Linked DNA regions of Alligator mississippiensis. The protein of the gene in region 2 binds, or shares a complex with, the protein of the main gene of each other region. Links are inferred from orthologs where the notes say so. Each region holds a gene or a part of one and is shown on either strand. Other genes may lie near its edges.

The links. Proteins that work in one complex are often made in the same cells at the same time.
Region 1: the proteins of CMKLR1 (region 2) and RARRES2 are in contact, whole or in part, in a cryo-EM structure (PDB 8ZJG), measured with the Homo sapiens proteins. The link is inferred for Alligator mississippiensis from reciprocal best matches to the Homo sapiens genes CMKLR1 and RARRES2. Residues at the interface, in NP_001135815.1 of Homo sapiens: Asp20, Tyr21, Leu22, Asp23, Ser24, Ile25, Val26, Val27, Leu28, Phe88, Leu92, His95, Tyr103, His104, Asn116, Leu119, Ile120, Met123, Arg178, Leu183, His184, Gly185, Lys186, Ser188, Cys189, Phe190, Asn191, Trp203, Thr205, His217; in NP_002880.1 of Homo sapiens: Leu34, Phe37, His38, Phe60, Thr75, Ser76, Cys77, Arg96, Leu111, Gly112, Arg113, Leu114, Val115, His116, Cys117, Pro118, Ile119, Thr133, Leu136, Arg137, Gln139, Arg140, His146, Ser147, Phe148, Tyr149, Phe150, Pro151, Gly152, Gln153.

The regions. Positions count from the first base shown.
Region 1 is NC_081828.1:219,304,536-219,311,439, reverse strand, and holds the start of RARRES2 (retinoic acid receptor responder protein 2), read right to left. Parts: upstream 3,066-6,904; 5' UTR 2,695-3,065; coding exon 2,530-2,694; intron 1,781-2,529; coding exon 1,676-1,780; intron 611-1,675; coding exon 512-610; intron 224-511; coding exon 122-223; 3' UTR 118-121; intron 1-117. UniProt on the Homo sapiens protein: Adipocyte-secreted protein (adipokine) that regulates adipogenesis, metabolism and inflammation through activation of the chemokine-like receptor 1 (CMKLR1). Also acts as a ligand for CMKLR2.
Region 2 is NC_081833.1:4,564,732-4,572,727, forward strand, and holds the start of CMKLR1 (chemerin-like receptor 1), read right to left. Parts: upstream 3,028-7,996; 5' UTR 2,880-3,027; intron 1-2,879. UniProt on the Homo sapiens protein: Receptor for the chemoattractant adipokine chemerin/RARRES2 and for the omega-3 fatty acid derived molecule resolvin E1.

The DNA.
Region 1 (6,904 bases), on a different chromosome or scaffold from region 2:
CAAGGAGGAAGGAGTCCCTCACGGCTGTCCGGAAGATGGGCCAGGGGGCAGCTGGGGCCATGCCCTGAACATCATAGGACCCAGCCGCCCGCCCTTCGCTGCCCCATCTGTGCTCACCGTGCTAGTCCGGCTGGCTGAGGAAGGCGAACCTGCCAGGGAGGTAGACCACCTCACCGGCCTGTTCCACCCCTTGGCACTCCTGCTCGTCCTTGGGCGACAGCACCTGCAAGGCAGAGCCGGCATTACCGCAAAGGCAGCGGCTCTGAGTGCATGGGGGTGCCAGGGCTTGTGCCACATGGGTGCAGCCAAACAAGCATGTGCCCCCATGCATGCATGGCTCTAGATGTACGTGGGAGGGGTATTGCATCTGCCAGGGGCAGGCATGTGTTTGCGCACATGTGTGTGTGTGATCCTCCAGGTGTGGCACTGGGGCTGGCTCCAAGCTTTGCCAGCCCCCCAGACCCAGTCCCTGCAAGCTCGGGACAGCAGCTGGGCAGAGGGTGGCACTTACCTTGGCCAGCGGCTCCACGCTGCAGTGCATGTACTTGTCCAGCACCTCCGAGGGGCTGGTGCTGCCAAACTTGACGCAGAACAGGCAGTTGCGCTTCCTCTGTGGAGATAGACGGGGAGGCCGTGACCACCGAGTCAGGGGCAGAAGGCGCCTCTGGGGCAAGGCAGCAAGGCTGCAGCACCCCTGGCTGCCCCCTCATCTCCCAAGGGCATGGATGGGGCCCAGCAGTGTGGGGCAGGGCAGGGTGGGGTGGGATAAGGCTAGTAGCCCAGCCACCGCCGGGTATGGGGACCCAGGAGGTAAGGGACAAGGCCAAGGTCACGGTGGGAGCCTTTGGCAGAGGTCACGGAGGAAGCCCAGCCCAGGACAGCGGATGCCCTGCCTGGCAAAAACCCTGCCTAGCACCCACGTGGTTCCACAGGGATGGACTCATACACCCCCCTGGGCACTGCACACTCATGTGTTGGCACATTTACATGGTTCCAACAGGCACAGCTACATGTGCACTCACACCTCCCCTAGGCATTGCACACATGTGTGCATCAACACACACAGCTCTGCAGGTAAGTGTACATACATCCCCCCAGGCACTGCGTATACATGTGCATCAATACACACAGCTCCAAGGCATGTGCACATACATCCCCCCAGGCACTGCACATGCATATCCATTAGCACACTCACATGGCTCCAACAGGCACAGCCATGCATTCACACCCACCTCCCTCAGGCACTGTGTGCACACACACACCCACGTGCTGCTCCTATGTACAATACCTCTACTCCTGGGACTTGCACATGCACACACATCCATTCACACACTACTGCAATACACGTGCACAGGTGCGCACACTCACCCCTCCCAAGCCTGGATGCCCCCATTCACGCAGCCATTCACCCCCTCAGTACTCTCTCCTGGGCCCATCCTCTCCCACCTGCTCTGACGAGGAGGATCTGGGTCATCCTCGTCTGCCTCCTGCCCTAAAGGATGGAGACAGGGTAGGGGTGGGGATGGGGGGGAAGGAGGCAGAGAGAACTGAGAGGGAGAATGAGCACGACCCTGATCCTGCTGCCCTCGAGGCGAATTCCCAGTGACTTTAGTGGCGTGGGCATGAGCCGTGGACCCGTGGGTGCCAGGCATGGCCTGGCCACCCGCTTGCTCACCCCGTTGGGTCTAACGCTGCAGTGGTGCTTCCTCTCCTGCTGCTTCCTGCAGGTCGTGGGTACCAGGTTGAGGTGCAGACGGATGAAGGTCCCCGTTGACTGCACCTATGAGAGAGCCTGGGGTCAACAAGGAGTGGGGCAGCTCCGAGCCGGACCCCAGCACTGGCAGGGCATTCCCGGCCTTCGGAGGGGCAGCTCCTGCAGCGTCTCTGGGTACTTGGTGCTAATCCAGGTCCCACTAACTAAGTGCCTCCGTGCTGCACATTTGCTTGTGTAACACGAGGGGCGGATCCAGGCAGGTGCAGGGAGTAAACAAGCCCAGTTCTCGCAGCCTCTCCTCGCAGGTCCTGTTCCCTGGGCTCCTGGCGTATGAGTAAAACTTCTAGTTTCTTTTTGCACCAGAAACAAGGAAGCTTCAGAGATGCTCCTGCCCTCTCCCAGGCTTAGAGGGACCCGTGTTGTCCCTTGGCCTCATCCTGCCTGGCCCACAGCGAAAGCTAGATGAAACCACCCATCCTCCCCAAAATGGCTTGGGCACCCAGCAGGGACCAGTTGCCCCATCATGTGTCCCAGTAGCCCCCCAGCCCCATGTGGCTTTCCCCTCCAGGGAAAGAGGCCTTGGCTAAGCCCCGGGAGAGGAAAGCAGGCACCGTCACACCCCCAGGCAAGCATCCAGTTAATGTGTAGCTCAGCGCGGCAGGTCACTGCCCCACAGCCCAGCTTGCCTACCCTGCCCTGTGCCCGGGGAGCTCCTGCCGGGCTCCGGCTCCAGGCCCTTCTCCCCTCCGGCGGGTTGTCACCCCAGCAGTGCCCGAAAAGCCCGTGGCCTGCAACCACTGCATTGCAGCACTCACGCTCTCAACCACCCCTTCCACCGACTTCTCCTTGAAGAGCCAATGGATGTGGCCGCGGCTGTGGAAATCGGCCAGCGCCAGCTCCACCGCCTGCTCCTGCAGCGCGGACCGGCTGGCCGCCGCCAGCGCCGCCAGGCTCAGCACCAGAGCCAGCACCCCCTTCATGTCTGCGGGTGCCGAGGAAACACAACTGAGCCGCCTGCCCCGGGACAGCGCTGATAACGCCCGGTGTTGATCTTGGTCGTCTATTAACTAGCTCCCGCTCGCCACCGCCCCCTCCGGCCCCGTCCATTTGGGACTGAGGTCACGCTGCGCTGGGGAAGAGCCCGCAGACGGTGCGGGGATCAGGGCGATGCCCGCATCCTGGCAGCCTCTCCTGAGGGGATGCTCCCCCAGCTCCCACCCCAAATGACTATGCACAGGCCTTGCCTGCCCTCCCAACACCCCTCCCGAGCCGGCAGGGCTCGGCGTGCACGCTGACAACCCCCATGGATGGGGAGTCGTGCTGCTGCTGGATGGACCCTCCCCTCCCAGGCACCTTGCACAGGTGTGAATGGATGCACCTCTGAGCCCCGAGTGGGGGCCGGGACCCCCACCCTCATGCCCCCGGGTCCAGAGACATTTGCTGGCTCCACTCCCTGCAGAAACCCTCCCTGCGCCAGCGCCCGAGGCCGCTCAACGATGCCAAGACATTGCCGATCCGTCCGGGGTAACGCCAGCCTTGCTCGCTGCCGAGCCCGACGCCGCTCCGGCCCCGCGTTTCCCACCCCCTCGGCTGGACGGGTTTGTTTTTTTTCCACGGTGTTTTTCAGGAATCGGTCACTGGGTTTTTATCAGAAAACCAACAACTCTCCCTGCCCGAGAGGGGCGAGCAAACACGCCCCTGAGCTGCCGGGCCGGGCAGGCGGGGCCCTCGCGGGCAGAGGTCAGCGCCTGCGAGCGCAGGCCGGCAGCCGCTCGGGGGGAGGCGACGCGTTACAAACGCACGCGCCGGGCGGGCGGCCGCGTGTCGGAGGCCCCGCGCGTCACACGTGTTTGGAAGCTGGAGGATTCCCCGAATTAGCGGAGCAATGTTGCCGTGGGGCGGCCGAACACTGCGCACGCCGACGCCAGCTACATCCTTCCTCCGCTCCTCGGCCCTGCCCGCGACAGGCGCCCTCGCCGTGACGACGACCAGCGTCCTGGGACCTGCGTGGCCACATCTGGAGTCCGGCGTCCAGCTGTGCAGAAAAGATGCGGACACATTGGAGAGAGTCGGGGTCTTGTCACCATGACAACCCCAGGCACGTCGCGCGACGCCGGCCTGTGCGTGGAACGGCGCTGACGGCGTCTCCGTCGTACAAACGCTCAGCGCCCCTCGTGTTGGGGGCGCCGCCCTGCGGCCACTCTAGCGCGTCTCTGTGCTCCGCGTGGCTGGAGGGCGGCCGCTCTGGTGCGTCTCCCTCGTCTCTATGGTCCTGGGGGAGACACCGCCCGGTCCCGTCTCTATGGTACTGGGGGGAGAGCGCTCCCCTACGTCTCATGGCGCTCTAGCCCTCCCCTGGGGTCTCTATGGTGCCGGCGGAAGGGCGCTCTGGTACGTCTCCATGGTGCTGCGGGGGGCGCTCTAGCCCGCCCTCGGGATCTCTATGGTGCCGGCGGAAGGGCGCTCCGCCACGTCTCTATGGTGCCGCGCGGGGCCGCTCTAGGCCGCCCCCTCGCCTGCTCCACGTGCCTCCTCCTCCTCCGTGACGTCACCGCTCCCGGAAGTGCCCCTCCCTCCCACAACCAGTTCTCCCATGAGGACTGGCGGCCTGTCTTGCGCGTTCTCGCGGGATTTCCTCTTCCCGTCGTGCTTTGCGGGGCACCGCCTGCAGCTTCGGCGGGGGATCCGTGACGTCACCACGCTGCCGCGCGACGTCACAGGTCAGCGGGGCCTAGCGCGGGGCTGAGGGGCCTGGTGCGGGAGCCGGCGGGTTGCCATGGCGATGCGGTGAGGGGGGGGCAGGGGGTGTTGTGGGGGTGGGGGCACGATGGGGGAGGGGCAGGGGTGGGAAAATGCGGGGTGTTGCGGGGGACAGGGTGGTAGGTGGGGGAGGGGCAGGCAAGGGGGTGTTGTGGGGGAGGGGCTGGCTGGTAGGTGGGGAGGGGGTGTTGGGGGGAGAGAGAGGGGGCAGTGGGGCGGGGGTGTTGTGGGGCAGATGGTGGGTGGGGGAGGGGGCAGAGACAGTGTGGGGAGCAGGGGCGGGCGGGGTGGCCGGCACCCGTGGCAGGGAAGCCGTGGGGGGGGGTTGGGGCACTGCCCCCCCCCGTGCCCCCCTCCCCGGCCATCGGCACAGTGCGGGCGTGCTGCCCCGCGCTCGCCCCTTGCCCACGTCGTGCGTGGCGGGCGGCCGCGCCCGGCTCTGCGTCGAGGGGGTCCGCGGCCTCCCCTCGTGGGAGCAGCTCCCGCCAGCCGTTGCGGCGTCGCGTGGAGATCCTGGGGCACGGCGGAGCAAAGCCCCGCAAGCGCCGCGGGGCTGGGGTCAAACCGGCCTGAAGCGCCCCCGTGTGCGGGCGGGTGCCCTGAAGCGCCGTCAGCTGGGATTGATGTGACGTGGCTGGGGCTGGTCCTGCTCCGAGTGTGGGGGGGTTGGACTGGACGTGACACCCCCCCCCCCCCGAGGTCCCTTCCCTCGGTGTCATCATCCTGTGACACCTCTTGGCTAGCGTCCCCCTTGCAACGTGGATGCCGGGCCCAGTCCGCTGGCCGAGCTCCAGTCTGAGGCCTCCCTCCGCTGCCTTTTGTAAGTTCGAGGTGTCTCTGGTTCCGGCTGGGGTCCGGCCGCGTCGGTGGAGGGGGCGCGGGAGGGCTGAGACTGGTGGGAGCAGAACGAAAGGGCTTTGTCAGCGGAGGACGTGCGGAGGAGCAGCACGTGGCGGGGGCGCGTGGATGCTGCGTCTAGGGCTGTAGCACGCAGACAAGGCGGAGATGTGTGGGGTCGGGTCGGGGAGAGAGCGAGCAGCTGTGCGGGGTGAATAAGGTTCCTGGCCGCCTGCCCAGCGGGGATAGCGAGGGCCTGCACCCCGCGGGTATCGTGGGGGCAGGACGTGGGGTTTCCTTTCCGTGCTCTGCCGTGGCAGCGGAGAGCCCAGCCCCCTTTGCCCTTGTCCCTCTGGGAGCCAGCCCTGTCCCTGGCTGCCGGCCAGGATGAGGCCCCGCTGCATACCGGACCCTGCCCTGTTGTCTTTGTAAACAGGATGAGGGGCCAGCCGGAGGATTTTCAGTCTCCAGCGTGCCCTTTTCCTGTGGTCACTTTCTCTCCGCGTGCTCCTGTTTAACCCTTTCAGTAGCCTGAGCGTCTTCCCTTTCCTCCAGCTCATTGTGGGGTTGGTGTGCACGCACAGGGGCTTCCTACAGTGTGGTTGGGCACAGTCCGGCTTGTCTTGGGGCAAGGATTGGGAGTCGGCTCGTGTTCTGACCTCGCCTGGGCCTTGATACAGCAAGAGACGGGATGCTGGTTCCTGTCCGAGCCTCGGTTAGCCCACCTGCGACTTGGGGTGGTTAAAAGACCGAAATCACAGCGGATCTTTGGGACTTCATTCATTGCTCTTTGCAAAGTACTGTAGGACGTGCTTCCCCTATAGGAGCCTGCCCTGACGCTCGGTTCACTCCTCCTGCCCCTTATTGTAGGACCGGGGGGGGTGGTGGAAGGGGAAAACTGCTCTGTCCAGCAGAGGTTTCCACTGCTGACCTTAATGCCAGAGTCCGAGTCCCCGCTACCCATTCAGTTCTGTGGCATTTGTGCTGGTGGCCGTCGCTAGGCCAGGACTGAGTGCTGGAGCTCCCGCAGGGAGAGACTGCAGCGTCCGGGATGGTGGTGCGAGTGCAGAGGCCCAAGCACGCGTATGTGCTGCTGCCCCAAGGCATAGGAGCTCTTTTGCGGGTGGTCTCTTAGAGCTGTCGTTTTGGGGAGACAGGCTGCTGGGGCCTGTGCGTTCCTAAAGGCTGAGGCTAGCAAGCAGCCTTACAGATTTCAGAGGCAATACAGAAAAGCGACTCGAATCAGTGTTTGGGGGTGAAAACTCAGAAAGTTTTATCGTCCTCAGAAGGTACCAGCTCGGTCTCGTTAATGGTCAGCCCAACTTCCTGAAGCTTCAGGTAGCAGAGCAGTATGTGATTAATGTTCGTGGCCGTCTTGCAGCCCCTGTATTTATATCTGAGCACTCCTCACATCATACTGACTACTCTCTCTCTCTATTGAGGTATCCATCTCTACTTGTTTCTCTTGCAAAGTTCACACACCTACACTTACGTTCTTGTTATCTCTGCTTCATTAGTGAGTTATTATGTCTTATGTTGGTCTTTGAGGTGTTTTTTTTTTCAGCTGATGTTTTCTTATTCTCCTCTTTGAGC
Region 2 (7,996 bases):
TCATCGGGCATCGGAGATACCTAGATACCTACATTAGAGATAGTATCTCTGACACCAAACTATCGCCTTTCGAGCATGCATCGCAATGGCCTCAGCTGGGAAGTCATGGTGTTGATTCCCCCTTTATTCCTCCTGCCACCCCTATCGAATTCAAACATGATGGTGCATTATTCACATTATAACTTTATACAGAGCTCATACAACATCTCAATAACTAGGTTACATTTCAATATTCTTAGGTTCTTGCCCATCAACTCATATTATCCAGATACATCGGATATGGCTTTGTCACAGTCTCTCCACGCTGGGCTGTGTCTGAGGAGAAACTAAAATACTAGACAATGCCAGGACCCTTTTAGAGAGAGGTCCCCACTGCGGAAGATCTCAGCAGGGTTTCAAAGTCCGATGCTGCCCGCAGTGACGAAGCTGCAGCTGAACTAAACTTCATTGATTGAGCAGGCACTAGGAAAAACATGCCACCCCTGTGGACAGATAGGCGTCTGCACCCTGAAATATGGGATGAAGGTATTGATTGCCACGCAAGAGAGAGCTTCTCTCTCCCGCAACCGCACACACAAACCTAAATCTAATTAACACAGACACTGATAACACCAGGGGACTGCAGCTGTGGTTGGAAATTGCTCACCCTTGGCAGAATTTATGGAAAATAAACCACTGTGTGATGCACTTAGTGATAAATATCTTATTACTGGCTGCTCTTTATTTATACAGCCCCTGTACTGTAAATAGTACATTACATTAAAAAAAAAAGCATGATTTACCAGATTGTGCTCTGCACCATTTTCCCCAAACCAGATTAACCCAGAGCCAGGGCAGAGAGCTCCCTTATTTATTTCAAGGCATTTGTGCCTGCTGTGCTTGCCATCATGTTATCAAGTAAATACGGGAAGCCAGGCTGCTGCCAACAGAGAGACACCAAGAGGCTCCGTTATCTTTGTTTTTAATGGACTGTCAAGCTCCTTGGATGTGTTTGCTTTCAGCCCTGAAAGGAAACACAAGCTTTGCGTTCTTCTGCACAAGTTTTTCAAGTCTTGGGCTTTCACAGCAAAAACTTACTTCCCCAGCCACCGGCCCAAGGCAATGAATTAGCACTGTGAAATTTTTTGTTGGAGCAGGCCAAATGGTGACTTCCTTCAGTGAGTCAGATGCATATCTCATCTCATCCTATTCCTCACTACATTCACGAACCTCTCCTGCAATGAATGGCTTTGCTTACCTGTAGTATACTATTCAGCCAGTAGGTATCTCCAGGTGCCGTACAGAAGATCCAGGGTGTGGGTCCCTGGGAAACAAAGCTGGAACTCAAGCTGTGTGGAAACCTATTTTGCATGTGTCTGTACGTGTTTTCTTTAGCAAGCGCCTAGTTTTTTAATAAGGTCAGTGATCCCATGTGCCATGACATGCATTTGCCATGGAGACTCTGCTACACCTCTTGTTTGGCAGGAATGTTCAAAGCAATAGCAAATGTTATTGCTCTACCTTTTGTTTTCCTACATTTCTACCTATTTACATTCTCACTGACATCCTGTCACACTTTTAGCTTCTCGCGTTCCTTGGAGTCTCAGAACAGCAGAGACTTTCTATGCCTGAAGAAGGGTGATTGTACCCAAAAGTTTACTAAGCACTTTTTTCCCCATTTACTCTCAGTTGGTCTAATAAAAGATATCACGTCTACTCAAAGAACCTCGCCTGCCTATGTCCTTAGACCGACACGGCTTCAACCAAAAACCTAGCAAATTTTAAGCATTTGTTAGTGACTATTCACAAGAAGAGAACCCTGAATTTTCAGTCTTGGCTATTTCCAGTCTTGGCTGGCAAGCTGATTCTGGGGGCTGAATTCTCCAAGCTGTTAGGTCCAGTTTGCAATGCTCACCCAGCACTGCAGATCTAAATGAAATCTCAGGAAAAGCTTCCTAATTGTAATAGCAATAGGACAGCGAAACAAGCTGCCCAGGGAAGAGATGGAATCTCCTTCATTGGAGGTTTCCAAGAAGAGGTTGAATGGGCATCAGTTTGGGATGGTTCAGGATGACTGAACCCCCACTGACTGGGTGACCCTGGAGGTCTCCTCCAGCTCTGTGATTCCATTGGCAAGATTAAGTGTACAAGTGGCTGTACACACATAATAAGAGAGAGCCCCCGATCCCAATGATCGGGGGTGACAGCAAGCTCCTTCATGCTGCTTCACATCTTGTTCTGCTCGGGGAGCTTGGCATTACATCTACTGAAACAGGAGGCAGACACAGCGAAGCAAGGCCACCAGGTACAAGCCGAGGTCACAACCTAGCTGCATGCCAGGAAATTATTGACTGAGTATATTCCTCAAATGGAGCAAATCTGAGAAAAGCTGTGGCTGCTCAGACACAATTCACCTACAGGTTTGCCAGGAGCTTTTTGCTCACCTATACTTTTCAATTCAGTTTTTATCAAGCAAATGCCTACTGAAGTTAGCAGGCAACAGAGTGAGTAAACACTGCACAAACCGCAGGAGACTGTCCTAACAATAATAATTAATTCATACATAATGATACCGTATCATTCTAACTGCTGATCTCTGCCAAAGCCTCCTAGGCTTATTAAAATGAAATATTCGTTTAGAGAAAGCTGTTGCTTCTGTGGTAACTACAAGAGGACCATGTACTTGCTGGGATCAGGCAATGGGAGCTTGCTCTGACCTGAACCTGGTTCTCCTTACTCAGGCCAGCTCCCAGCGGAAGTTTTCTCAAAGGAGCACAGATTTGGGCTCCGCTCTTCCAAGCCTCAGCAGTGCTGCACAGACCTTACCAAATGCAGGACCTCAGGGAGCAAGCCTCAGACCAAGAAACCCAAACTGGGAGAGAGCAGAAGTGAGCTCTGACCTGTTTCAGTTAGATTCAGTGGAAGTCCTCTCTTCTCTTAAAACCAGCTGTTATTTGCTTTTGCCGTTTCTCTTCCTGCTGCTCAGTGGCTCTTCTGCAAAATGCAACAGGCAGCTTGCAAGCAAGTATGTGAAAGCTGAGAACAGGTAAAGCGCTGGATTACACCCAGGCTCAGACAGCCACAAACACACACTACAGGGCGCTTGGACACGATGCCACGGAAGAATTTCAAACCACCTCAAATACAAGTTGTGTAACTACCAGGTTCTACAGAAAACTCCACATTTGCATGGCACAGCTTGTTTTAGACGTACTCCTCCAGCCTGGGCACAGGCAGAGACATGCCCAACAGGTTTTCATTTGGAAAGCATTTCACAATTGGCACCTGTGCATAAAAATGATCCTAACACCTGTGTAAAAAGCATTTCCTTACGGGGGGAGGGGTGGGAAAAAACCCCAAAGCCAAGCAGAAGTGATTAAAGTGCTATTGCTATAAAAACTACGCAGGATTAATGACTCAGCGCAGGCCAAAATACACTTTGTATTTGTAAACTCCTGTGTATCAATTAATAGCTTCTGTTTGCTAGCAAGAGTATGCCCGCTGCTCCGCGAGGAGCTGGCTTCTGCTGACCACGCTCTTAAGGCAAAATCAATCTTGCAATTGAGTGCATTAGTTATAGCCAGGCTCCAAGGGCCAAAGGGAGAAACATGGTGTTTATCTAGATTACAGGAGGGTCAGCCGCACTGCAAAGCAGGGGATTTAGCAGCGTTATTTGCTTGGCGCAGTGGCGCGGGCTCTTCAACGAGCTGCTTTCACCCTGGGTCTCCTTTCCCCTCAAGGCTGCCACCAGGAGGGGCTGGGCGAAGGAGAATGGGGTGATGCGTGCAGAGCTTTGCAGTTCCCGTGCAATTCAAGGAGACATGCCGCCACCTGCTCCCCCCCAGCTGCCCTGAACTCCAACACCTGCAATACTTACCTGAAAACCTCATGCACACAAGCCTTCTCTCAGGGTACTTCAGCTGCTGGAGGACCACGGGAGAAGGCTTGTGCGCCTGAGATGTCCCCTCTAAGGTGTAGCGATCTGTGAGTGCACCACTTCGGTCTGTTCCCGAATTGGTCCTGCCTACCCCTTTCGGCGCGCGCCACCTCAGTCCGCCCCACAGTATAATGCAGTTTTACAACAGAAGATGATACAGCACCCGGGCCTCCAGAAGGGAGACTGCGAGATCATGACCCTTTTCTCTGCCTTTGTTAGAGACCGTTCCCTGTAACTCCCCACGGGCTAGTGCTGCTGTTTATTGGGGCTTTGTCGAACACGCAGCGATGCCGTCGTGGCCGTCTGCTGCAGCGCTCTTCTGTCCATCAGCAAGCAAATGCCCAATTGCAAATACCCTCGCGGTTATGGCACTGCCTCACCTCGGGGAGCGAGGAGGCACGTGGCGGCCCGTCCTGTCCCGCCTCGGGAGGAGTGGTGCCTGCCCCGCGCGAGGAGTGAAGCGCTTACCTCCGGGAAGCGTCCCACGCCGGCCCCGGTGCCTCCGCCATGCTCCTCAGCCCAGCTCCTCTCCCCGCGGGTGCGTGCCGTTCAAAAGTTAGCGTGCGGCCACATTTTTAATCGAGGGAGCCTTGCTTCAGCTGCTCTACTTTGAACCCCGAATGGAGCCAGCGGTGCACAAAGTGCAAGGTTACAAGGGAGGAGGGGGCGAACATGCCAACGTTTGAGCCCTCCAAAAGGTGCATTGGCTCCAAATGCACGACACGCCGGGTGGGTCTCTGCTCCAGGAAGCCTGTCTGAATAGATGCGACAGGCCACGGAGAAAGAAAGGGAGCGGGATTGTGTGCTGAGAGGCAAAGGGCCAAATGCTGCCACTAAGCGTCGCTCCTGCGAGTAAAGGGTTCACGCTCTGGCCCTGAGAGACTCACCTAGGGTCGCACGCCTGCAGCAGAGCCAGACATGGCCACGAGTCCCCACGGAGAGTGCTAACGACCCTCTCGGGTGACCAGAAGGAATTTGCCCCAGAGCCCGGGGTCATTTAGGAGGGAGCCATCTTCTCTGAGGCACCGAGAAGGTGGGGGCGTCCTGTGATTGCAGCGATGGGCAAACTGAGGTCGCTCGCTCTGCTTTTCCTGAGCACGAATGCACAAATTCACACACATCGAGGCCCTGGGGACTGTGCAGAGGTAGCCCGTGGAAGCAGGCAAGCCTGACGGAGGAGCTGGCGGAGACTCTGGCAGCCCGGCGTGAGTCCATGGCTGCTCTACCAGGAGCAAAGTGCTGGAATCGACCCCCGTCTGGGAGGATTTGAAGGGCACAAATAAAGCACAGCTGCCAAAAGGAAGAGACAGCTTGGAACAGCGCCGTTCAAAATGGTGCCATTCAAAATGGAGGAGACTGTTTGGAAAGGGCGCCTTTCAAAATGGAGGAGACTGTCTGATAGCAGCGCCATTCAAAATGGAGGAGACCATCTGGTAACGGCGCCATTCAAAATGGAGGAGACCGTTTGGAAAGGGTGCCATTCGAAATGGAGGAGACTGTCTGATAGCAGCGCCATTCAAAATGGAGGAGACCGTCTGGTAACGGCGCCATTCAAAATGGAGACTGTCTGGAAAGGGTGCCATTCAAAATGGAGACCGTCTGGTAGTGGTGCCATTCAAAATGGAAGAGACCGTCTGGTAACGGCGCCATTCAAAATGGAGGAGATCGTCTGGAAAGGGCGCCATTCGAAATGGAGGAGACCGCCTGGAAAGGGCGCCATTCGAAATGGAGGAGACCGCCTGGAAAGGGCGCCATTCGAAATGGAGGAGACTGTCTGATAGCGGCACCATTCAAAACGGAGGAGACCATCTGGTAACAGCGCCATTCAAAATGGAGACTGTCTGGAAAGGGTGCCATTCAAAATGGAGACCGTCTGGTAGTGGTGCCATTCAAAATGGAAGAGACCGTCTGGTAACGGTGCCATTCAAAATGGAGGAGATCGTCTGGAAAGGGCGCCATTCAAAATGGAGGAGACCGTCTGGAAAGGGCGCCATTCGAAATGGAGGAGACCGTCTGGTAACGGCGCCTTTCAAAATGGAAGAGACCGTCTGGTAACGGCGCCATTCAAAATGGAGGAGATCGTCTGGAAAGGGCGCCATTCAAAATGGAGGAGACCGTCTGGAAAGGGCGCCATTCGAAATGGAGGAGACCGTCTGGTAACAGCGCCTTTCAAAATGGAGGAGACCGTCTAGAAACATCGCCATTCAAAGTGGAGGAGACCGTCTGGAAAGGGCGCCATTCAAAATGGAGGCTCTCCCTCAGCCTGCTGACACGGCGACCTCTCTGTGCTCAGCCAGGGGTGCCACTGCCCTCAAGCATCCCACACTGCCTCAAAAGGGGGAGCTGGTGCCCGCTCACAAGGTGCTGTGGGTACGCTAATTAGCAGGGCTCGTTATGCAGCACCGTTCCCGTGGGCGACACTGCGCCAGCAGCAGCACGGAGCACCTGGGGGCAGCCTGTGGGACTGGCTCCGCTGGCCGTGTGACGGTGGTGTATGAGGAAAATCTTGCCACCAAGAGGACTGCGCAAGCCCCTCAAAAAAGACTCAGAGGCCCCCGAAATCAGGCTGAAGGACTGGAATCAGCCCTGGGCAAAGATGACCTCTCCCTCTTCTGAAGGCTTAAACACCCCTCAGGGCTTTGCCCGTCTCGTCCATCATGTGAATTCGGGAGAGCGAGCCTCCGTATTGCGGCAGGAGAGGGGCCCGTCATGCCTCAGCTTTGAGGCACGAAGCCCCAGCGCTTCCCTGCCTTCATCTTCCTCCCTCCTTCGTCCTGCCCAGCCTGTCCACTTAGCGCTGAGACGAGCCCCGAGGAAAGCGCCTCTTCATTTCCTTGGGTTTTGGGGGGAAAATAACATTGTGTGTTTTCAGCTGAAATGCCACGGCCGGTGATTTCCCCCCACCCCTTCTATTTTCTGACAGTCCTGCCGCAGATCAAGACATTTGTTCAAAATTATCTAACGAGCACTCAGCCTGTAATTTATTTTTCATAAGCGTTAATCTAATTCCTTCCAAAAGTTATGCCTCTGGGACCCTCGGGAATTAGAAAGCTATTCAAGACGTTTCCTTGACATTACTTAGGCAGAAAACAAAATCAGAGGATTTTTAAAAAAATAAAAGAAACAAGCAGTGTCAGGCTCTTTGCAAAGACGGTTTTCAGACACCCAAACCCATTTCGTTTCATCTCAAACGCTGGGTTTTATATTTACCAGTTCACCCTACAGCCAATCTGTTAGCACTTCACTTCAGCCTTGAATAACCGCTAGAAAATTAATCTTACCAGAACCCTTGATCTGATGTGGTTTTTATTGGGACCTGAAGTCATACTTATCGAGGGGACAACTTCTGCACCAGATGTACTAGACCCATAAAATACCAGCAGATCCCAACCTGATAGCTGGAGTTGCTGGAAAGTTTGTAATTTCTGCTTGGACCGGCTACCCAAGCTGGAACCACTATTATACGAGCAGCTCAATTGATGGAAAACACCAAAAAGATGGAGTCTGACAGCAAAGTTATGTGGCCTGTCCTGAATCAGCAGGCTGAACATCGGTTTTAATGCGTAATATCTGTGTGATTAATGTGTAATATATAGGTGTAATGTGTACCATATAATATATGTGTAATTCATGTGTAATGTGTGCTATATAATATATGTGTAATTCATGCAAAATGTGTAATTAATGTGTACTATGTAATATATGTGCAATTAAAGTGTACTATATAATATATGTGTAATGTGTACTATATAATAGATGTGTAATTCATGTGAAATATGTCATTAATGTGTAATATATAATAGCTTTCTAATTTGGGCGGTCTACATTAACGCCCATGTCATCTACACACGCCCTAGCTGGATATATTAGGGCTTTATTGGGCTTTTAAAGGATACCAGTGGGTGCAGTGGGAAAGGAGGCAAAGCTGTATGGAGTTTCCCAGACCTCCGTCCTGTTACTGGGGGCATGGCAAGGAGTGAGTAGAAAATGGTTTTCCCTGTCCCCTGACAATTTTCAAGCCGTCGACACTTTTGCCTACCTGGAATCAGGAGAGGACAAACAAAAAGCTGACACCTTGAA